Linked DNA regions of Sus scrofa. The protein of the gene in region 1 binds, or shares a complex with, the protein of each later gene. Links are inferred from orthologs where the notes say so. Each region holds a gene or a part of one and is shown in the gene's direction. Other genes may lie near its edges.

The links.
Region 2: the proteins of GNA13 (region 1) and ADGRD1 are in contact, whole or in part, in a cryo-EM structure (PDB 9V0U), measured with the Homo sapiens proteins. The link is inferred for Sus scrofa from reciprocal best matches to the Homo sapiens genes GNA13 and ADGRD1. Residues at the interface, in NP_006563.2 of Homo sapiens: Val49, Val216, Phe218, Phe359, Val362, Lys363, Asp364, Ile366, Leu367, His368, Asn370, Leu371, Gln373, Leu374, Met375; in NP_942122.2 of Homo sapiens: Asn599, Arg601, Leu657, Met660, Val661, Ile662, Val664, Phe665, Ser667, Val737, Ile738, Ile741, Ala761, Val764, Asn810.
Region 3: the proteins of GNA13 (region 1) and S1PR2 are in contact, whole or in part, in a cryo-EM structure (PDB 7T6B), measured with the Homo sapiens proteins. The link is inferred for Sus scrofa from reciprocal best matches to the Homo sapiens genes GNA13 and S1PR2. Residues at the interface, in NP_006563.2 of Homo sapiens: Arg47, Val216, Phe359, Lys363, Asp364, Ile366, Leu367, His368, Asp369, Asn370, Leu371, Gln373, Leu374, Met375, Leu376, Gln377; in NP_004221.3 of Homo sapiens: Ser66, Met68, Tyr69, Leu72, Arg130, Ala133, Ile134, Lys136, Val137, Lys138, Leu139, Tyr140, Tyr209, Ile212, Val216, Ser219, Gln227, Thr228, Leu231, Leu232, Val235, Tyr288.
Region 4: the proteins of GNA13 (region 1) and GPR35 are in contact, whole or in part, in a cryo-EM structure (PDB 8H8J), measured with the Homo sapiens proteins. The link is inferred for Sus scrofa from reciprocal best matches to the Homo sapiens genes GNA13 and GPR35. Residues at the interface, in NP_006563.2 of Homo sapiens: Lys46, Arg47, Leu48, Val49, Lys214, Asn215, Val216, Phe218, Arg331, Gln337, Gln338, Lys340, Pro341, Leu342, Tyr343, Phe359, Arg360, Asp361, Lys363, Asp364, Ile366, Leu367, His368, Asn370, Leu371, Lys372, Gln373, Leu374, Met375, Leu376; in NP_005292.2 of Homo sapiens: Phe45, Gln51, Thr53, Thr55, Met59, Asp113, Arg114, Ala117, Val118, Pro121, Leu122, Arg123, Arg125, Arg128, Ala197, Leu198, Arg201, Pro202, Thr204, Asp205, Gly207, Gln208, Ala211, Ala215, Met218, Val219, Ala280, Lys281, Glu282.
Region 5: the proteins of GNA13 (region 1) and GPR4 are in contact, whole or in part, in a cryo-EM structure (PDB 9JHP), measured with the Homo sapiens proteins. The link is inferred for Sus scrofa from reciprocal best matches to the Homo sapiens genes GNA13 and GPR4. Residues at the interface, in NP_006563.2 of Homo sapiens: Arg47, Pro341, Tyr343, Phe359, Lys363, Asp364, Ile366, Leu367, His368, Asn370, Leu371, Lys372, Gln373, Leu374, Met375, Leu376, Gln377; in NP_005273.1 of Homo sapiens: Gln45, Asn50, Arg115, Ala118, Val119, Ala120, Pro122, Leu123, Ala126, Ile204, Val208, Ser211, Val212, Ser213, Thr214, Glu218, Lys221, Ile222, Leu225, Asn290, Glu291, Gly292, Ala293.

What each region holds. Positions count from the first base shown.
Region 1 is NC_010454.4:11,963,812-11,968,512, reverse strand, and holds the start of GNA13 (guanine nucleotide-binding protein subunit alpha-13), read left to right. Parts: upstream 1-1,599; 5' UTR 1,600-1,923; coding exon 1,924-2,206; intron 2,207-4,701. UniProt on the Homo sapiens protein: Guanine nucleotide-binding proteins (G proteins) are involved as modulators or transducers in various transmembrane signaling systems.
Region 2 is NC_010456.5:24,238,046-24,243,058, reverse strand, and holds the start of ADGRD1 (adhesion G-protein coupled receptor D1), read left to right. Parts: upstream 1-1,788; 5' UTR 1,789-2,416; coding exon 2,417-2,482; intron 2,483-2,573; coding exon 2,574-2,610; intron 2,611-5,013. UniProt on the Homo sapiens protein: Adhesion G-protein coupled receptor (aGPCR) for androgen hormone 5alpha-dihydrotestosterone (5alpha-DHT), also named 17beta-hydroxy-5alpha-androstan-3-one, the most potent hormone among androgens. Also activated by methenolone drug.
Region 3 is NC_010444.4:69,049,365-69,052,280, reverse strand, and holds the end of S1PR2 (sphingosine 1-phosphate receptor 2), read left to right. Parts: intron 1-233; 5' UTR 234-275; coding exon 276-1,331; 3' UTR 1,332-1,885; downstream 1,886-2,916. UniProt on the Homo sapiens protein: Receptor for the lysosphingolipid sphingosine 1-phosphate (S1P). S1P is a bioactive lysophospholipid that elicits diverse physiological effects on most types of cells and tissues.
Region 4 is NC_010457.5:139,588,739-139,592,723, forward strand, and holds the end of GPR35 (G-protein coupled receptor 35), read left to right. Parts: coding exon 1-470; 3' UTR 471-2,900; downstream 2,901-3,985. UniProt on the Homo sapiens protein: G-protein coupled receptor that binds to several ligands including the tryptophan metabolite kynurenic acid (KYNA), lysophosphatidic acid (LPA) or 5-hydroxyindoleacetic acid (5-HIAA) with high affinity, leading to rapid and transient activation of numerous intracellular signaling pathways.
Region 5 is NC_010448.4:51,976,870-51,981,771, reverse strand, and holds the start of GPR4 (G-protein coupled receptor 4), read left to right. Parts: upstream 1-1,840; 5' UTR 1,841-1,975; intron 1,976-2,263; exon of another isoform or gene 2,264-2,397; intron 2,398-4,902. UniProt on the Homo sapiens protein: Proton-sensing G-protein coupled receptor activated by extracellular pH, which is required to monitor pH changes and generate adaptive reactions. Activated by an optimal pH of 6.8-7.2.

The sequences.
Region 1 (4,701 bases):
AACACAAGGTTATAGGCAGGGCTTTGAATAGCTTTCTCTGCTGTTTTGCATGTCACAACATGAACTGGCTGGGCAGGAATACCTTCCTGCCTCCTAGGCATCCTTGGTTCTCCATTACGTTGCACACACTTTTGGAAAAAGAAAAAAAAATATGTTAACTACTTAACTGATAGGCTTCCCTCTTCCTGTTTTCGTAGAATTCAGATTAGCATCTGGAGTCCATATAGAAAGGGTGCTTGGAGGCCGGTGCTAGACCCCTGCCCTGGTTCATCCTTTCATGGGTGGAGAACAGAGCCTCCCAAACACTAGCTGAGGCCACAGAGAGATCTTGCAACCAGGAGAGACGTTTACCCTATATTTTACCTGAAGGCACCACCTAGTGATTCTGGCCCTAACAATCCTTAGATATTAAGAGTTGAACCTACACTACTTTGTATATTGTAGCTTGTCCACCCTGTGGGCTTGGCCAGGACAAGAGGAGATAATCCCACTACAGGCACTGTTTACTGCAGCCAGTTTACTGAGTCATGAGGCTCCTCGGACATTAACCCAACCCAGACAGTGAACTGATTAGCACTGATTTTTAAAATTTAAACCTGTTCCTGAGCCTCTTGGGAGTGCTGACCTCTTTCTTCAGTTTCTGACGCATAGACGTTTCTGAGCCACAGAAGTTCTCATCAAGGAACATTAGGGTTGTACTGCCATAAACGGAGACCACCCCAAAAGCCTTTTTGCACTTAAAACTAGAATACCAAGAATGAAGAAGTTGGCTTTTGGGGGCCAACCCAGCTGTCACTGGTCGCTTGTCTCCTGGCAGCCCTTCAGGTGTCCTGGCCTGAATCTGCTATTAGGATAGGAAAAAAGTCCCTTGGCTGGTCATATCCTCTGTAATCTGGCAGGAAACCTAAAATTTGCCGGCTCTTCTCCTCGGTCTGTTTGCTTATCTGCTTCCTTGTTAGGGAAGAGTCTGCATCACAGTGTCCGGTTAAGGGGGATTTTCACCATGACCTCACCCTACTGCAGCTACATCTTGATTTCAGCAGCTTGGGTTGGAATCCGCATCAATGAGACATCAACAACCCCTCCTCGCCCATCTCAGATTAACATCAACACGAAGTCTTTCTCCTCCAAGAGATGATCTTTGTAGGGCTCAGAGAATACCGAAGAGAGCTGCGGGCCGGTGTTGGGGAGGATGTGAAGATGTTTGGTTAACGTTTTGAGTTTGTGAGAGCAGGATGTCAAGGAAGATACTCTAGGAAAACGCACCAAAAACTTGCCCAACTCGCGCTCGCTCTTTGAATAACATTCAAGCCAATGGCCTCGAAACTAGGAGAGCGAACGATGACAGCCGGCGACCCGCACGTAACCGCGGCGGGAGCGGTTGGGGAACCCAAAGTGCTGCATCTGAGTTCTTCTCTCCGGGCCCCAGCCTCCAGGGCTCCCGGAAGCAGCCCTTGGGCGCGTAAGTGGGTGCAGCTAATTAAAGGGAAACAGAAAGGCTGGCTCTGCAAGGCGCCCAGCCCGAGATCACATGAACACAAGGCCCCACCCCTTCAACCCCTCCCCGCGCGCGCCTGACGGCGGCCGCGAATTCACAGTAGAACGTGATTCTCCGGCCCAGCGCACGGGTCGGAGGAGCCGCCGCGGCGTGCGCGCGCGCCCCCGGAGGCAGCGGGCACGCGCACGTCCCCCGGGCCACCGCCCCTCCCAGGCCCGCCCTCCTTCCCTCCCTCCCTCCCTCCCCGGCTCGCCTGGCCCGCCCTGCGAGTCAGTTCGCTGGTTCCCTCCCTCCCCCGGCGCGCTCGGGTCGCCACTGCGCTCCCCGCCCTCGAGCCGCGGTGCCGGAGCCGCCCGCCGCCCGAGGAGGAGGTGGAGGGAGCCGGAGGGGCCCGCCGAGGCGGCGGCGGCGGCGGCGGCGGCAAGATGGCGGACTTCCTGCCGTCGCGGTCCGTGCTGTCCGTGTGCTTCCCCGGCTGCGTGCTGACGAGCGGCGAGGCCGAGCAGCAGCGCAAGTCCAAAGAGATCGACAAATGCCTGTCGCGGGAGAAGACCTACGTGAAGCGGCTCGTGAAGATCCTGCTGCTGGGTGCGGGCGAGAGCGGCAAGTCCACCTTCCTGAAGCAGATGCGGATCATCCACGGACAGGACTTCGACCAGCGCGCGCGCGAGGAGTTCCGTCCCACCATCTACAGCAACGTGATCAAAGGTGCCGGGCCGGGGTCGGAGCCGGGGGGCCGGGGGCCGGGGGCGGCCGCGGGCCGGCGCGGGACCGGGCACCGCCCTCGTTCGCTCAGTCCCCGGAGTAGAAACGGGCCCGGCGGGCGGGCGCGCGGGAAGGGGGCGCGCCCCGGGCACCGACCCTGCCTGCCCGGGGTGCCCTTGCCCCCAGCGGAGGGGATGCCTGGGGGTGCCCCTTTTCCCTCTTGCTGCGGGGCAGGGATCCCGGCTGGCCCCCCACCCCCCACTCCGTCGCTGGCCTCGCCCCCTGCGAGAAGGGAAGTGAAGGGAGCCGGGTGCCGGGAGTGCGGGGTGCCCCCTCCTGTCTTCCCTCCTCCGGACGAGGCAGCAGACCCGAGAGCCAGCCCCAGACCCTACACCCTGACCCCACGCCCCAGCGCTGCCTGCCCAGCCTCGCCTTCCCGGGTGGGTGGGTGCCCGAGTCACATGGGATCGGGGCTGCTCCCACTTCCCTGCTTCCTTGGCCCTTCCAGTGTTCTGGAACCATCGCAATGAGGAAACTTTTGCCCGAGACTCTGGTCAAGGGCGAACGGTGACTGCTCTTGGACCCTTTGGGGCAAGGATATGAAACTTGAGGGTGTCCTGTTTATTGTACTGGCGTCAGGAAAGAGTAGCCCCATTTAGTTAGTCTAAAAAAGTTCGCAGCGGTGGTTTTTCGCCCGGGTGTCACGGTGGGGCAGGATGTTTGCCTGTAATCACTATGCAACACGTTCCACTCTCCTTTTGCTTAGTAACTGGGGGCCGGAGGGAAGGGGTACCACCACTTGCTTCTACTACTTAAATTAAACTGTGTGTTGATAATAAAGAATCTTTGGCCTAGAAGTGATGCAGAGCCTGTACAAGTTGAGTCAGTGAATCAGTGTCGGCTCTGCTTCTGTTTGTCAGTATTTTTTAAGTTAGATTAAGCCTTGTTAATAAGTGAAAAACGCACAAGAACTTTATTTCTGGTCTTTCAAAGAGCTAAGAGAAGAGGGATTTTATTTTTGTCGTTTGAGTGTTAATTAGCACTTCATTTTCTTTGTATCATATTTTCTACTTTATAAAAGGCATTTGCCAAAGTTGCGGTACGGAGTCTGGTACTTCAGGTGTGTCAGGATTCTCTCTGTTGCATCTGGGTAGCAATTATCTAGGAGTTCGCTATAGATTTCAAGCTTTTCCAAGCAGCATTTTTTTGAGTGGGATTTTTTTGTTGTTCAGGAAGTGCTTAAGTTACTCTCTGGTGTCACTTTTTTTTCTCCCAGGATTGAGTAGAGGAAAACTGCTTGGGGGGGGGGGAAGGGGAAGCTTTGTGAAGCTAATAACGGGGGAGAGCACTGCGCCAGGAACTCATAGACCACAGCCAGCCCTAGTACCTCTGCAGTTAAGTTATTAAAAAAAACCGGTTGTATTTATCCCTTCTTAACGTTTAGTAGTGCAACATTAATTGAGGTGTCTTTCAAAGCCGAAGACTCTGCCTAACCAGGCTCTAATTGAAGGTACCTTTGTATACCGATGCCCAAACTTAAGGAGTTCTGTCAGTGAATAGTTAACATGTTAACTGATTATAAGCCAGCTAAATAAACATCTGGCCCTGTTTTGTTTTTCATGTTTTGGTTTTTTTGTTTGTTTGTTTTGTCATTTTAGGGCTGCACCCATGGCATATGGAAGTTCCCAGGCCAGGGGTCCAATCTGAGCTATAGCAGTTGGCCTCTGCCCCAGCCACAGCTACAGCTATGCCAGATCTGAGCCACATCTGCGACCTACACCACAGCTCACGGTAACACTGGATCCTTAACCCACTGAGCAGGGCCAGGGATCCAACCTGCGTCCTCATGGATACTAGTCGGGTTCGTTTCTGATGAGCCACGACAGGAACTGTACCTGGCCCTCTTTTAACACCTGGTTCTCAATGTGCTCTGACTTCTAAGTGTGACCTACTTTGAGCCTTGATTATGAGATGAAGTCACTAGCCATCTACTTTTTTGAGTTGGCATGATCAGAAAATTGACAGCCAAACAGTTTTTCAGTTATCCAAACAAGTGACCTAAGAGCCATGTGATTATTGAGAGGGACTAAAAGTAACAGCTTAATGATAGAAATAATGGGTTTGAATTAATCACCATGAGTTTGAAATCTCTGTTTTTATACTGTTTTTGCAATTGGTCTTCCTCCTTTTAGGGAAGTCTAACTAAGGCCATCGTGTGCCTCACACTGATTTAAAGCTTGGTATTGGGAGTTTTTGAGTTTTGAATGTTTCCTGGAAGACTCAGCGTTGGGCTCAGCCGGTGCTCGGGGACCAAATAGGCCACAGGGCGACATTGTTTGTTGTTGACATTTCATAAATAAATATCTCTTTGAGGGACTCAGAAAACCTTGCAGATCCTTCTTCAGAGCCTGGACGTGCAGGCTGTACGTACAACTTTATCGTTTCTTTTTCCTTCACTAGTTTTGGTTCTCTGGTGACAACATTCTACGCAGAACTTA
Region 2 (5,013 bases), on another chromosome or scaffold:
CCACGTATAAGTGATATCATATGGTATTTGTCTTTCTCTGCCTGACTTACCTCACTTCGTATGAGAATCTCTAGTTGCAACCATGTTGCTGCAGTGTATCCAGTTTTTATTACTGTTATGGTATTACCGTTATTGTATTGGGATGCCTTTGATGATGATTTTTCTGGTTAAAGGAGGTCAGTCTAGGAAATGGGAGAGGTCCATTTAAATAGCAATCTGTCTAATTCTTTGTAAATTAAGACCTGGTCAGAGAAAAATCTGCATCTGCTGCCACTCCTCAGGCATCTTTCCTTTACTTGCAGAGGGAGGCTGGATGGAATGAAAACTGATAAAATGCAGAGATAAGGGTTGTAAATTAGTTTTCCCCGAGGCGATCAGCCTAGGTGACAGGATAAAGGTTGTAATGACAACGGTGTAATTCATCATTTTTTTTTTTTTCAAGTGTGAAGAGATAGAGAAACATGTGCAGAAAATTTCTGCAAACCTGCTGCGCCTGTGCAGGGACGGTCAGGCAATCTAATTTTCCGAAGGTAGTACGCTGCAGGGCACAAGTTAAAAATAATCACCTCATGGGCTTGACATTACATTTTTTTTTCTCCCCGGTGGAGATGGGAGGTCATTTTCATATCCTCTTTAGGAAATACTTGGACTCTGTTCCCATTTAAAGTCAGGACTAAAAGATAATAATATTAGCTAGCATTTAATGGTGTTATTTTCTACTTTGTAATAATAATAATCACAGCTAACATTTATTGAGTGATCTTTTTCTTTGCAAAAAATAGCTAGCATTTATGGAGTGCTGCATATTTTCTAAGCACTGCGTTGAGAGACTTATATGTATCATCTCATTTCTTGTTACAACCCCGGGGAACAGGAACTAGTACCTCCATTTTACAGATGAGAAGTTTGAAACAGAGAGGTTCAGTAACTTGCCTGAGAACACACAGCTAGCAAGTGTCGGAGACAGTACGGGGAGGTAAGTGTTAGTTTAATCACATGGCACATTATAGCTGTGAATAAAATTGTGTGTGTGTGTGTGGACATGGAAGCATTGTAGATTGTGCAAAGTTTTGGTCTCTAATAAAGTGGGTTTAGGCTGGCAAAGGATCTGATGCCCTGCTATTATTACCTTGAGAACACTATCCTGGATGTGGAGGGGGTGTAAACCCACAGTGTAATTTGTAAATAGTTCCATTCACCTCTGAAAGGGTTAAATAGAAAATGTGGTTAGTATTATGTGGAGGGCACAGGGGTGCGGTTTATTTTCTTTTTCCATCCCTAGGTCGCTTTATTTCTTTTCTTTGGGCAAACAAGATTCTGCTCTAAGCTGAGTTTATGGTTTGCTGTATGTTTTCTATGTATTCATATTTATGCTGACTTTGAGGGTATGGATGGAAGGCATCTTATTTTTTAAATTTCTATTTCTTTTTAATCTTTTTAAGGGCTGCACCTGCAGGACATGGATGTTCCCAGATTAGTGATCTAATCAGAGCTGCAGCTGCTGGCCTACACCACAGTCACAGCAATGCCAGATCCTTAACCCCCCAGAGTGAGGCCAGGGGTTGAACCCGTGTCCTCATGGATACTAGTTGGGTTCTTTACCACTGAGCCACGAAGGGAACTCCATGATGGAAGGCATCTAACACACACACACACACACACACACACCCCATGTCTGTCTGGTCTGCCTCCAAACCTCAGATCCAGAAAACCTTCCCAGTGGTTCTTAACAGACCGGAGTTAGGACCCAGGAAGGACCAGCAGCGCTGGCCGGGCTATAAATAGAGAAGCAGAACAGAACAAAGTTTGAGGAGAGCTCTTTCACCACTCACTCTCCCCACCCCAAGCAGACAGACGGACGAGGTGTCAGCCTGAGTCACACCAGAAGGAGTTGAGCAGCGACGCCCCAGCCCAGGAGCCCACGGGAGCTCCAGACAGAATTCCTTGCGCTTCAAGGAAAAAGGAGAAACATCCGACTCTGAACCTGGATGGAGACAGATGAATTGTCTTGACATAAAAAGAAAACCTTGAGGGAATCACGATTGCTCTTGGAACCTCTGTGCTGCATCTGTGGCCCGGGATTGCTTCTCGGGACTGTGACGGGGGCTGTGTTTCTTCTCCCCGCATCCCAAGGCTGGTCTGGTCCTTCCAATGTGTCTGTGGATCACTGAGGACTTTCACGTTTGGAGACGAAGAAGAAACACCCATTAACTCCCCACTACTGCCTGCGTTCACTCCCTGAATCTCACAGACTCTAGTGAAATACATGTTTTTTCTGTTGTTGTTTTGTTTTCTTTCCGGAACCTGTGAAAATGTCCCTTTCCCAAGGAAGTGAAAGTTAAGGGGGACATTTTGTCACGGACCCTCAGGAATCCCCCTGGGATCACATTTTCACCTCTGGAAAAAAAAAAAAAAAATGAGGAAGCTGCTGCCTCTTTGCTGCTGGCACTCCTGGCTGCTGTTATTTTATTGCGATTTTCAGGTAATGTCCCCAGGTAATAATTGCTGAGATGGGACTGGATCTCCACTGGGAGGTTCCCCTTGCGTCTTACAATGTGGTGTTTTGTGTGCAGGTGCATGGAGCCGATGCCAGGTCACAAGCCCATCCAGGTAAGGCGGCTTCCCTCTCATCTTGTGAGCTGGGGGTCTGGAATTAGTTTGTTTATTGTCTGTAAGACTGTGGGGCCTTCTTGGGTGGGGGTTCCCCTGACCCCTGCCAGCTGCCCTGACACCTTGCCCTCTGGGTCACTCATCATCTTCCACCTCCGACTTGGTGGAGGACGCTCAGCGCCTGGAAGCCCCTGGATCTGGGGCATCTGGAACCCTGTGATTCAGGAAATGGGGTGTTCTCAGGTGGGCATCTTCTGTCTTTGATTCACATCATGGGTGTCCAGCGGGGATTCATGTGAACTGACCGAGTGCTCCCTGCCTCGTTCTGTCCCTGTCCCTCCTGTGGGAGCTTAACTCCTCCAGCCCCTCCGAGGAAACCCCTCGCCCACTCCCTGGGTCTGCTTTCCCTTTGCCAGCTTGAGTCTTGAGTCTGGAAGCATCACCATGAGGCTTTCTTTGGGGAGGATGGAAGAGGTGTGAAACCTTTCTTGCCCCTTTGCAACTGGGTGGGGTGTGGGTGTGTGTGTGTGTGATGGTGGTGGGAACTCTCTTTGCTGTCACTTTTCCCCATTTGCTACTTGGCTGGCATGTGCGTGGTGCGGAGGAGACCCCATGCTAATGTCCCCAATTCCTTGCTCAGCCTCAAGGTGGGTGGGGGGGGGTATGTCTTGGGCCCTGATTATTACCACAAACAGCCCTGTCTGTCTTCATGTCCCACCAGAGCTTGTGGGCACAGCATCCCTGGTCCCATCCAGGTGTGAAGCCAGGACCAAGAGACAGGTGGGGTCTGGTGGAAGAACCAGCACTGTGCTGGGTGCCGGTAGACATGGGATGGAGCTCTGTCCCCTTTGGAGTGACCTGGCACTCATGGTGGGTGCTGACACATCAAGTCCTCATCACTGCCTTCACCTGCCCATCTCAGTGGTACAGATGTTGCTGTCTCTCTTTCTTCCTCACGTTCAAGTGAAACCTTCTGTTGAAAAGGATGCCAAGGCAGTGAATTTCCAGGCTGAGGGCTCCCCTTTCCTCAGCCAAAGTACTGAAAGAAAGGTCTGGGGATAAATAAATCATCCAGCATCGCATTAAAGAGAGGCAGTGTGTGCCCCTCCGATCCACGCCTCGTAGTTCACACTGGTTTCCCGGGAGAGATGAGGGAGAAATCCTGGCCAGCAACATCAGGCAGAGTGACAAGGCAGCCATAAGACCCCTGGCACATGGGTGGAAAGGAAGTTGTGCCTTGGCCATGCCAGCCACGTCCACTCGCATCCTTCACCCTCAGCTTTCAAACTCAGTCTTAGTTCCACAGAGAAACTTCTTCTCTCACATCCTAATGCAGGGTTGCAAAACCTGATTCCTCAGTCAGCTAGCTACCTTAGAGAAATAATAATAATACTGACAATCATAGAAATACTACTAAAAAGAAGCCGTACACACCACAAAGCTGGCATGGAAACCGGGAGCTCTGGGGTTTGGGGTTCTAAAACTCTGCGCTGCCTCATCAGTTTCTTTCTCCTTGAATTCTGTCTCCAGCCCCCTCGCTCTTGTTCTTGTCCTCCCTCACTCCCACTTTTTAAACCGCTACTTTCTTCTCTTTCTCCCTCTCTCCTTCCTTTTTAGAATAAAGATGAAGCCTAACATTTATTCAACACCTAGTTGGGTTTTTTAACTCCCTGTGGCTGAAACCCTCCTGCCTCCTCTCCTTTTCATCCCTCCCTACTTCCTTCTTCCCTCCTGCCATCTCTTTCTGCCATCCCTTCCTTCCTTCCTTTCTTTCTTTTTTTCTTTCTTTCTCTCTTCCATTTTTCTCTCTTCCATTTCTTTCTTTCTTCCTTTCTTCTTTCTTTATTTCTTTGTGTCTTTCTTCCTTTCTTCTTTCTTCCTTCTTTCCTTCCTTTCTTCTGTCTTTTCTTTCTTTCTTTGTGTCTTTCTTTCTTTATCTCTCTCTTTCTCCCTCCCTCCCTTCCATCCTTTGTTCGAGTTCCTCCCTCGTTCCCTTCCTCTCTCCTCCCTTTTCCTTCCTCCTTCTCTCCCTCTCTCCTTTTCTTTCCTGTCATTCTTTCCCCTTATTTCCTTCCTCTCCCTCTCCAGTCCTTTTCTTTTGTCTTCTCTTCCTCCATCTTGGATTCCGCTCAGCCCCTTTCCTGCTGACAAGCTGACCCCCGTCCCCTGTGCACCAGCAGTACCTGGGAGGCCTGATGCCTGTCTGCTTCCGCCCCCTGGAGCCTGCAGCATCTTAAGAGGAGCCCCCATGGAGGAAACCCGATCCCCAGCCCTTCTTCCCAAAAGCATACACCCAGGCACACAGTCAACCTGCAGTGACCCTGTCCCTGAAGGGAAGACATCCGACAGTGTGGGGATGGCTACCTAAACTGCAGTGATTTATCCTAAGGGGCACTAAATAGT
Region 3 (2,916 bases), on another chromosome or scaffold:
TGCAGCTCTGCCATCCAACTGGTTGGCGCCTCAGTCGGCCGTCCCAGGTGTGAAATATCAGTTTTCCTGATATTTTCCTGTCTGTAATGCAGGGATGATGATAATTCTGACTTCATGTGATCCATACAGTGGGGGAGTGACGGGGCTAGGACTTGAACTAAGGCTGTCCAGACTCAGTCCAGGCAGCAGCCACAGTACTAACCTAGCTGTCTCTCTGTTTTTTCTCTTTACAGCTGTGACAGCCCCATGGCCCCGGTCGGCCACTGAGCCCCACCATGGGCAACCTATACTCAGAATACCTAAGCCCCAGCAAGGTCCCAGAACACTATAATTATACCAAGGAGACGCCAGTCACAGAGACGCCCTCCCGCCAGGTGGCCTCAGTCCTCATCATCATCCTCTGCTGCGCCATTGTGCTGGAGAACCTGCTGGTGCTCATCGCGGTTGCCCGCAACAGCAAGTTCCACTCGGCCATGTACCTGTTCCTGGGCAACCTGGCTGCCTCAGACCTGCTGGCAGGCGTGGCCTTCATAGCCAATACCTTGCTCTCGGGCCCGTTCACGCTGAGGCTGACCCCTGTGCAGTGGTTTGCTCGAGAGGGCTCTGCCTTCATCACGCTCTCCGCCTCCGTCTTCAGTCTCCTGGCCATTGCTATCGAGCGGCAAGTGGCCATTGCCAAGGTCAAGCTCTATGGCAGCGACAAGAGCTGTCGCATGCTGCTGCTCATCGCCGCCTCGTGGCTCATCTCAATGGTTCTCGGCGGCCTGCCCATCCTTGGCTGGAACTGCCTGGGCCACCTAGAGGCCTGCTCCACTGTCCTGCCGCTCTACGCCAAGCCCTACGTGCTCTGTGTGGTAACCATCTTCTCTGTCATCTTATCAGCCATCGTAGCTCTGTACATCCGCATCTACTGCGTGGTCCGCTCCAGCCAGGCTGATGTGGCCGGCCAGCAAACGCTGGCCCTGCTCAAGACCGTCACCATTGTGCTGGGCGTCTTCATCGTCTGCTGGCTGCCCGCCTTTAGCATCCTCCTCCTGGACTACGCCTGTCCCGTCCGGGCCTGCCCCATCCTCTACAAGGCCCACTACTTCTTTGCCTTTGCCACCCTCAACTCTCTGCTTAACCCTGTCATCTACACGTGGCGCAGTCGGGACCTGCGGCGGGAGGTGTTACGGCCGCTGCAGTGCTGGCGGCGGGCAGCTGGGGGGCAAGGACGGAGGGACGGGACCCCGGGCCACCGCCTCTTGCCCCTCCGCAGCTCCAGCTCCCTGGAGAGGGGCACGCACATGCCCACATCACCCACATTTCTGGAGGGCAACACAATGGTCTGAGGGCCAAGTGGGCTGACAGTTAGGCTACATGGAGAGTCACTGGGTGACGTGGGGCTACCAGTCAAGGGGCCCCCACTCCACAGCCTGGGGTGATGTTGAAGATATTTCACACCTGGTATGGCCAACTGAGACACCAGCCAGTCGGATGGCAGAGCTGCAGCAGGGTCCCAGAGGCCAGTGCGGTGGCCCATGTGACCTCTTCGGAACTGGATCTTGGGGAGAATGGGGGAGGGGGGACCCGGAAAGGGCCCAGGGGACAGCAGGTGGGTGCTCAAGAAGAGCACAGAGGGAGTTCCCGTTGTGGCTCAGCAGCTTAAGAACCTGACTGGTATCAATGAGGATGTGGGTTCAATCCCTAGCCTTGCTCAGTGGGTTAAGGATCTGGTGCTGCCATGAGCTGCAGTGTAGGTCGCAGACACTGCTTGGATCTGGCATTGCTGTGGCTGTGTCATAGGCTGGCAGCTGCAGCTCTGATTTAACCCCTAGCCTGGGAACTTCCATATGCTGCAGGTACGGCCCTAAAAAGACCAAAAAAAAAAAAAAAAAAAAAAAAAAGCACAGCACAGGAGCGATTTCCCACCCAGTACAGAGGATTTCAACATTTCACAACCGTCTGCCTTCCCCTCCGCCCTGTGCCCGGACTTCCCTCTCTGAATTTACCCCCTTTGCCACCTTCTCCTTGCGATCTCAGAGGCCACTTCCCTGGAACCACTGTCCTGAGGGGCTGGAGACCTCCTCCCTGACCATTCTGGGCAGTCCCGGATGACAGTTCCCCGGGTTCCAATCCACAGCTTCCCTAAATCTCACCAGCTGCCACTTTGTTGACTTCTTCCCTTTCTTTCTGCCAGGAAACCACGTGGGGATGGGGGACTAAACCCCATTCTCAGACCTCATTGGCCATTTGCACTATTTGGGGCACGGGGGAATCACTGAGGTCTGGAAAAACCGGTCTGGAGGACTGAGGAGAGCTCAGGGCCTCCCAAGGGGGGCAGGGTGGAATTTGAGAAAGTTCTAGGGGAGCTAATGGCACAGGGCCCCCTAAACCCCCCTAAACAGCCAACCCCTAAGTTACTCCCACCTCCAGCCCCAGCCAAGGTACCAGATCTCTCAAGGCAGGGCAGCCTTGAGCCCGCTGTGCCTCCTTTGAGGTTGTACTGAACAGAGCATGGGGGTGAGGGTGCCAAGGACAATTTAGGATGCTCTCCTTTAACTCTGCTCCAGAAGGACTTTGCTAAAATCTGTGGCTAGATGGAAGGGACATTGCGGTACAAATGTATATTTATGTGTGTCGGTCAGTATCTGTGTGTGGCTTTGTGTGTGTGTGTGTGTGTGTGTGTGTGTGTGTGAAGGCTGTGATCCCGTCTCCTTGTCATGTTTCCCAGAATGGATGCTGTTTTGTCTCCTCATGTCTGTGTTGAAGCTGCCAAAGAGGGGTCTGGCCCCCATGCAGACCCTTTGTAATTGCTGACTTATCTCCCCGACTTGGGAGCTAGGGTGCAGCTCACCTCGGGGAAGGAAATTTCATGCCTCAAAGTGATTTCACGTGACTGCAAAGGCTGGGGGAGGGGTCTTTGCTGGGGGGGCA
Region 4 (3,985 bases), on another chromosome or scaffold:
GCTGGTTCCTGGAGAGGCAGGAGGGCGGCTTCTGCTTCACCAGCCCCTCCCGGAAGAACTCGCACACCCCGGCCTTCTCGCTGGTGGGCTTCTACCTGCCTCTGGCCGTGCTGGGCTTCTGTTCCCTGCAGGTGGTGGCCACCTTGGCCCGGAGGCCAGCCGCGGACGCGGGCCAGGCGGCGACCAGCCGGAAGGCCGCCCGCATGGTCCTGGCAAACCTGGTGGTGTTCGTGGTCTGCTTCCTGCCTCTTCACGTGGTGCTGACGCTGCGCGTGGCCGTGGGCCTGCCCCCCTGTGTCGGCCAACTCGCCATGGAAATCACTGGCAGACTCTCGGACGCCAACTGCTGCCTGGACGCCGTCTGCTACTACTACATGGCCAAGGAGTTCCGGGAGGCGTCCGTGCTGCCCGCGGCCTCCAGGGCCAAGGCCCACAAGAGCCAGGACTCTCTGTGCGTGACCCTGGCCTAGGAGGCAAGGCGGTGCTCTCCGCGAGGTGCTGCCTGCTGGGGACCGGTGACCAGCCCTGAGCTCGCCATGGGCGGGGGGTGCTGTCAGGAGGCCCAGGTGGGCAGGACAACCAGGCATGGAGCCTGGGGAGGTGACAGCCCCCCGCCCCCGCCCAGTGGAAAAGGAACAGGGAGGATGGCAGGGCTGAGGCCTGAGCAAGGCCACCGCAGGGGCCCTGGGCACCCGTGCTGGGCCCAGAGCCCAGGACACCTGGGCGGGGCGGGGGTGGCTGTTGGGCACCAGGAGGCTCTGATGGCCAGCTTGCCGCCGCCACCCACAGGGGCCGGAATAAAGCCCCCCAGAAGACTGTGTGTGCCACCCACACCCGCACCAGGGGCATCTTCCCCGGTGACTGCCCAGGGCTCCCCTAGGGGCCCCCACCTACGTCACAGGCCTTCCGCCCCCACCCATCTGGAGTTCTATCTGCCGCTGGGCCAGGCCTGAGTGTGGGCAGCTGGTCCTGAACTCAGAGACCACGCGTAGGGAGGGCGGAGGGGACAGTTAGCTCTGTGTCCGGCAGGGGACACGGCCTCTGCCAGGGCCAGAGCTGGAAGGAGCCCCATCTTACGCTTCAGCCTGGGGAGGGGAGGAGCCGCTACGGACAGAGACGGTCTCTGGACTAGAGAACGACGGAGAGAGGGAGAGAAGGAGAGACGGATGGGGAGAAAGCAGGATGGAAGGGGGGGTGTGGAGGGAACCGGGAGGGGGGGACAGGGACCACAGGAGAGGACGGGCCAGAGAGGGGAGGTCATGAGAAGGACAAGGAGAGAGGACCCTGGGAGGCGGTCAGGGGAGGGGAGAGAGACGGAGAGAGCTGTTCCAGGCCGGCCCCCGGCCCCGGTGCCACCCCCCCACCGCCGCGTGCCACCCCTCCTGCTGTCCTGCAGACTGGGAGCCGCAAGGGTCAGAGGGTCCCAAAGAGCTACTGGGTGCCCTGGGTGCCTGAGGAAGGACCAGGGGCCAGCTCTGCCTGCCAGACCAGCTGGGCACCCCCGCTCCCAGGGCCACTGGACGATGGACCTTACCCAGGGCCACATGGCCTGGGGCAGACCCACAGAGGTCCTGGGCTGGCCGGAAGCCTTGGATGGAGAGACCCAGGAAGGACCCCCACCACAGAGCCCCTGTCTGTCTGGGGTGGGTGGGGAGGTGGTGGGCCCGCAGCCTGGAGGGGGCCTTGGTGGAAAGCCCTGAGGCTAGGTGAGGGCTCGCCCCGATCAGGTGAGTCCCGGGGCTGGCACCGGAAGTGGGAGAGGGAGGGGGGGAGGGGGGGAGAGAAAGGCTGCAGCACCCTCTCCCGGGCCCAGTGAAGCTCCACCTGGCCGGGCCCTCCTCACCCCAGAACCCGCTGAAGCTCCCACCAACTTCCCGCCCCTGGCAGACTATCAGCAGCCACTCTGTGGCCGCTGCCCCAGGAAGGACTCTAGTGGCTGCAGCATGGACCAGAGTGTCCCAGGGCAACGAGCGTCTCCATCTGCCTCCTCCTGGTGCTGGGCCTGCCACTCAAGGGCCTGGCACTCTGGGTGTTCGGCTGCCACCTGCCCAGGTGGACAGACACTCACGTTGCGAAGTCAACCAGGTGGCAACTGTCTGCTGCCGCCGAGCCTGACGGGATCCTGCAGTCCGGGGCCAAGTGTCCAGGCCGGGAGGGCACCCCACACGGGTCCTGCAGAGCGTCCACTGGGGCAACACCTATAGGAGCAGGGGCCCCACCTGCAGCCTGGCACTGGGGTCTTCTGCTCCCAGGAGGCGCAGGTTCACCTGTCGGCTCTGGCCGTGCTCACCTGCCCCCACCACCCTGGTTCAGTGAGATGGTGGTAGGTGCCCAGGGCACTTCTGATGGCCACTGGTGGGCCTTTTACATGGCACTGTAAGAGCAGGAGAAGGGGGCCTGGGGCCAGAGGGCAGGAAACCACACATCATGCAAACAGCAGTGTCCTGGGGGACAAAGAGAAGCTGGAACCTCCAGGCTGAGAGGAAACCAGAGCTTCTGGGGACAGGTGCCCTGGGGGCAGACAAGAAGAGGTGGAACAGGGTGTGAATCTCCAGGGTCCAGATATCACCTGTTGCTCATCATGCCCTCATTACAATAAAATGGTCATAAAATTAGCTACGCAGATAAGAAGCAGCCATCCTACGCTGATGCCATGACACTCCCGATATACTAAATATGGACAAAAATCTCTCCTCCCTTCGGGAAGGTGAAGCTGGGATGACAATAAGGAATATGACACCCAAGCCCCACTTCCCAGTGACCATCCCGCCCGTAAAATCAGATGCCCCATGTAACGGGTGCGCCCAACACACGCAGGACAGCTGCTCGCCTCTCTGGCCGCCTCTCCTTAAAAGGTGTATTTCTCACTTAAAATAAATCCTCCGTTTCCTTTCTCAAAATCTCCGTCTCATGTCTGAATTCTTTCTTCGACGAGACAAGAACCCAACCTTCAGGAGCAGCCGCAGTGCCCACAGCCCCTGCCCCCGCCTCCTGAGGCTGCCGCTGGCCAGAGTGGAAGCTGGGCGGCAGGAGGAGGTGAGGCCTTGGCCCCCCTGCTGACCCATGGCAGAGAACTTGCTAGAGCCTTTAGACCTGCCACTTTCCAGGACTGGGGGTGCTCCTAGGGTCTCTCATGGGGAGGGTGGGGAGAGGAGAGGCTGGGAAGTGGGCCAGGCCGTGACAGGGGGACGCAGGGCTTGGGTGTCCGGAAGGTGGGGGGGAGGGTGTGCGTCAGAGGAGTCAGGCGGTTCCGGCAAGGTGGCACCTCCTTGTGCTGCGGCTGGACGCTGGATGGCGGGGCCAGGACGCAAGGATGCTCTGGGGGGTCCAAGGGAGAAGCGTCCAGGGCCAGGATGGCGAGGGGGGGAGTCCTGAGTCGCAACGGCGGGCGGTGACCAGGATGAGGGCTCCCACCTCGATGCGGGGCAGCCAAGGGATTCAGTGGGACGCTCTAAGGGCGCTGTTCAAGGGGTAAGAAAGGGGGCCTCCGGGAGTTAGGGTGGCCTGGTTCGGGTGTGTGAGCGCCCCAAGGGAACGGAAGGGCGGGATAGGGCAGCCCTGGCCAGCAGGGGCGGAGCATCGGTATTCAGGGGCGGGGCCAGACAGCAGCCCCGTCCCCTAGGCTCCAGGCCCCGCCCCTCTGCCCCAGGCCCCGCCCACAACCAAGGCCCCACCCCTTCTCGCTGCTGGCTCCTCCTTTCCTGGGAGAGGGGAGGGGCGGGGAGGGTCCCCAGATGCCGCCTCCTCGAAGCTTCTCTTCTTTGGGGCTGGGGTCCGCTGGTCCACCCCTCTCGCTTCCCAAACGCGATTCAGGCCCCAGAAGAGCGAGGGGCCGGCGGGGAGGAGGCGGAAGGCTGGGGCTTCGCCTTCGCCCCCAGCGGGGACGCCACTGCCCGCACACCTGCCTCTCCTTGCACAGCTGCGACCAGCTGGGATTGAAGGTTTTAGTTAATTTACTAAGGGAATGTGAATACTCACTGCGGCC
Region 5 (4,902 bases), on another chromosome or scaffold:
GTTTTTGTTGTTGTTGTCGTCATTGTCTTTTTCTTTTTCTTTTTTTTTTTTAAGCAGGCCTTTCCATTGTGGCTCAGTGGTAATAAATCTGACTAGTATCCATGAGGACGCGGGTTCAATCCCTGGCCCTTCAGTGGGTTAAGGATCCGGTGTTACCGTGAGCTGTGGTGTAGGTCGCAGATGGGGCTCAGATCCTGAGTTGCTGTGGCTGTGGCTGTGGCTGGCAGCTGCAGCTCTGATTTAACTCCTAGCCTGGGAACCTCCATATGCCTCAGGAGTGGCCCTAAAAAAGCAAAGAAAAAAAACCCAAACAAACCAACCAAAAAAAACCCCAAAAAAACCCAGGGAGTTGTTGCCTCTGGGAGCGAAGTAGGAGTGTGAGGGTGGCCTTGAAATGGGCAAACCCCCCACTGTTGTCTGAATGTTTATGTCTTGATTTGGGTGCTTAGTCACATGGGCGTATCTGTGTGCCACAACTCGATGTACTGCTCCCTTAAGATCCAGGCATTTTTCATTTTTATTTTTAAAATAAATAAACAATAAATAAATAAATAAATAAATCAAATAAACAAAAAGAAGAATTTGCAAGACTAATTGCTGTCATGTTGGAGCGCTTCATCCCAGGTCTGTGCAAAGTGCTTTGCCCCAGCATGAATTCTCACGACCAGTGTATGAAGGAAATGATAAGAAACATCAGGAAATATTTTCGGAGCACTCACCATGCCTGCACTCCCTCCTGGACAACAACAGGTACTGTACACCTATCATGCGTCTGGCACTTTTCTAGACAACAGACACACAATGGTATGCTAACGACACACAAAAATGACACTCCTCCTTGTGGGGAGGCAGATCATTAGGAAAAAAAAAAAAAGTGAAATACATCTAGTCCCCACCCTGCACAGTGGGTTAGGAATGTTACTGCAGGAGTTCCCGTCGTGGCTCAGCGGTTAGCAAATCCAACTAATATCCATGAGGACATGGGTTCGATCCCTGGCCTTGCTCAGTGGGTTCAGGATCCGGCATTGCCATGAGCTGTGGTGTAGGTTGCAGAGGCGGCTTGAATCTCTCATTGCTATGGCTCTGGCATAGGCCAGAAGCAGCTACAGTTCAGATTGGCCCCCTATGCCATATGCCACAGGTGCAGCCCTAAAAGACAAAAAGACAACAAGACAAAAAAGGGGAGTTCCCGCCCTGGCTCAGTGGTTAATGAATCCAACTAGGAACCATGAGGTTGCAGGTTTGATCCCTGGCCTCGCTCAGTCGGTTAAGGATCTGGCACTGCCGTGAGCTGTGATGTAGATCGAAGATGCAGCTCGGATCCCCAGTTGCTGTGGCTCTGGTGGCTACAGCTCTAATTAGACCCCTAGCTTGGGAACCTCCATATCCCATGGGTGTGGCCCTAGAAAAGACAGAAAGACCAAAAAAAGAAAAAGAAAAAGAAAGAAAAAAAGAAAAGAATGTGACTGCAGCGGCTCTGGTGCCTGTGGAGGTGTGGGTTGAAACCCCTCGGGTGTAGTGGGTTAAAAGGATCCCAAGTTGCCACAGCTGCGGCTCACGTCACAGCTGCAGCTAGGACTCAATCCCTGGCCCAGGAATTTCCATGTATCACAGGCTGGCTTATGGAAGGAAGGAAAAGAGAGAAAGAAAAGGAGAAAGAGAGGAAGAAGGGAGGAAGAAAGACAGACAGACATAGAATGTTAGGTGCTGACAAGCCAACAAAGCAGGGAGGAAGGGAAGCCTGGGGCCATCATGTTTTGCAGACTTGATTGTCTGACATCCTCCCGACAAAGGGACTCAGAGGGACCCCATTGTCCGAAGAGGAAACTGAAGCACGGAGAGGTCACCAGCCTAAGTCTGGCCACCAGGCAGGGCTGGAGCTGCCCGCCCCAGGATTCCTTCCGTGGGCTCCGGGAACTAACAGACCCCTTCCGACTCCCCTTCATGGAGGAGGCGGGGATGCAAGGACCGGAAGGTGAATGACCTGGGCCTGGGGTCTCTGTAGGGAGGAACACGTTCAGCTCCAGGAGACTCCATGCGGGAGGCGCCTTCCTCCCGCGGCTGCGGGCTTGATCAGGCTGGGGTGTCAGGTTGGAGGGAGAGTAAGCAAAGCGGCTAAGGAGGCGGGGCCTCCAGCGTGGGGACCTTGAAGGAGTGGGATGGGGGTGCCCCACGGCAGGTGAAGTTTCCCCAGGGCTGGAAGCCTTTAGCGGGGCGAAGGGGCGCGACGAAGGAGGGGTTAATGGGGGCGGGCCCGGCCGGGGGGCGGGGCCTCGGCCGGCCGCTCGGGCCCGGGGGCCGGGAGGAGTCGCTGCCAGGTCCCGGCGCCGCCGTGGAGCCCAGATGCCCGAGCCGCCGAGAGAGGCGCCACCCGCCCCGTCCAGCCGCCACGCGCAGGTAGGCGCCGGTCCTGCGGCCGCCGCGGGGCCGCTCCGGCAGCGCCGCTCGGGGGCTTTGCGCTGCCGCGTGCGCTGCCTCGGTCTCCCGCGCCGTCGCGGTCCCCGCCCCTCTCTGGGGCCGGCTCTCCCCGCGTCTCCGCCGCCGACTCCGGCTCTGGGTCTGTCTCCAGGTCTCCGTCTGGCTCTGAGGTCTCTCGGCATCGGAGGTCCTTCACCCTCTTGGGCGTGTCTCTCCTTCTCCATCTCTGGACGTCTCTGTGTGGATTTCTCGATCTCTGCCTCGCCATCCCTCTCTCTCTCTGGCTCTCTCTGTGTGTCTCTTTGCCTCTACCGCTGCCTCTTGATGAATTCTCAGTCTCTACGGAACTCTCAGCTTCCATCTCCACGTCTCCCCGTCTCTGGGCATCTCTGCCCTCTCCCTTCCTGTCTCTCTGTCTCTCTCCGTATATCTCTGTCTCTGTCTTTCTGCATCTTAGACCCGGTTCTGGCAATTTCACCCCGTCGTGGTCTCCTTCTAGATCCTGGCGAATCCCAGCGCTTTCCCCTGGGCTGAGGAGCTGCTCGGGAGTGGGGTAGGGGGCAGTAGGGTTGTCACCTGAGGCGGGTGGACCCTGTGACCCCGACTCCCCTCAACAGGGTCATCCCACTGCTCTTGAGATCACACCCACCCCACCCTCCAGTTTCAGGAATTCTTGGCTGGGGGGTGAACTTCCTCCCCCACTTCCTCCCTTCCAGGATTTGGCTGGGTCACCCGTTGTTAACTCCTTCCTGCCTCAGCTTCACCCCCCTCCCCGTTTTGAACTGGACACCCCCTACACCAACCAAGCTGAAGGGCAGCTCTGGAATTTCTGTGAGGCATGTGTTGTGGGATGTGTGCTGTGTTCAGGCTGGATGTGCGGGGATTTTCCTAAGGGCACTGATGGTGGTGATGGGGCCACCAACACCCCCATCACCCCCTGCAGGGTCCACCACCAGCTCCACTCCTGAGGTCACCAAGGGCCCCCTCCAACTCTGTCTCTGTAGATGAGCTTGACCTCAGGTTTGGGGTTAGGATGGGAAGCTTTTCCTTTCTAGGGGCGGTACCAGTAGGAGCAAATGAGAGAGATTGATGGGGGAGGTGGCTCCCAAACTCTGGGAATCATAGATCCAAGAAGTTTTGAATGTGAAGTCTTTGCAGGACCCACGTATGTGAGAATGGTCAGAGGGGTGAGCTGGAGGCGCTCAGACCTTCAAATTAAAGGACCTTAGGGTATTTGAATCCTTCATTCCGAAAAGATTAGCGCTGGAATTTTTGACAGTTTTCTGCGTTCACAGCCAAGAGCTCGAACGTGCTTTCAGAATCAGTGAGACCAAGCCGCCCATTTTACAGAGGGGGAAACTGAGGCCCAAGGGCAGAAGTCCCCACAATGGGTCAATTTCAGGCTGGGGTTGGGACTCCAGTTCCACTGATGCCCAAATCCAGAAATCTGGCTTCATTTGCCTCCACTGGGTCAGATCAGTCAGATCCTTGTGGGGAAGGAAGCAGGTCTTCACAGGGAGAAAGGAAGCAGCCAGGGTGAGTGTGGATGGCTGGAACCCTGGAGGGAGCATTTTTTAAGAAGCAGAGAAGAGAAAATATTTCTAAAACCATGGCGGGAGAGGAGACAGGAGTTGGTTTGGGTGGAAGGGGTGGAGTTTTCAGAGAAGGAGGGAAGAAGGGAGGGGACGTAGGGGGATTAACTCCCGCCTGGCTCTGTCTCCTGACCCTCCGCATGAAGCCCACTGCTCCCGCGGGACAGGGCCTATAATTTGGTTTGTGTCTAGACAAATAATAACTCAGCTGGTGAGCGAGTGAATGGGGAGGGATGAGGCGAGTCCTGCTGGACAGGGCTAAGGAGGCAGCCTGGGCTCCCAGTGTCCCCTCCAGGAGGGCAGAATTTAGGGCCCAGATGAATGTGGTGACTAAGCCCATCCCCCATGGAATCCTAGCATCCTAGAATTCTGCATAATCTTGGAACTTCAGGCTTCGGGAATGTTAAAATACAGATTAGGTAAGGGAGGGGAAAAGGAAGTGGGTTTGCTGTCTATCAAGTATGCTCCCATTTCTGTAAAAAAAAGAGAAGAGAGGCGTTCCCCTTGTGGCGCAGCGGAAAAGGAATCTGACTAGGAACCATGAGGTTGTGGGTTCTTTCCTGGGCCTCGCTCAGTGGGTTAAAGATCCGGCATTGCCATGAGCTGTGGTGTAGGTCGCAGATGCGGCTCGGATCCTGCGTTGCTGTGGCTCTGGTGTAGGCTGGCGGTTACAGCTCCAATTAGATCCCTAGCCTGGGAACCTCCATGTGCCGAGGGTGCAACCCTAAAAAACAAAAACAGAGAGAGAGAGAAGGGAAAGATGTATTTGTGTTTGCTGGGCAAAGGTAATAACCACTGAGAGTTTATTAATAGATTACAAAAGTCATAGAATGTTAAAAAAAAAATCCTAGAGCATTCTAACAATAGAACTTGAGAATCTTGGAATGTGAGC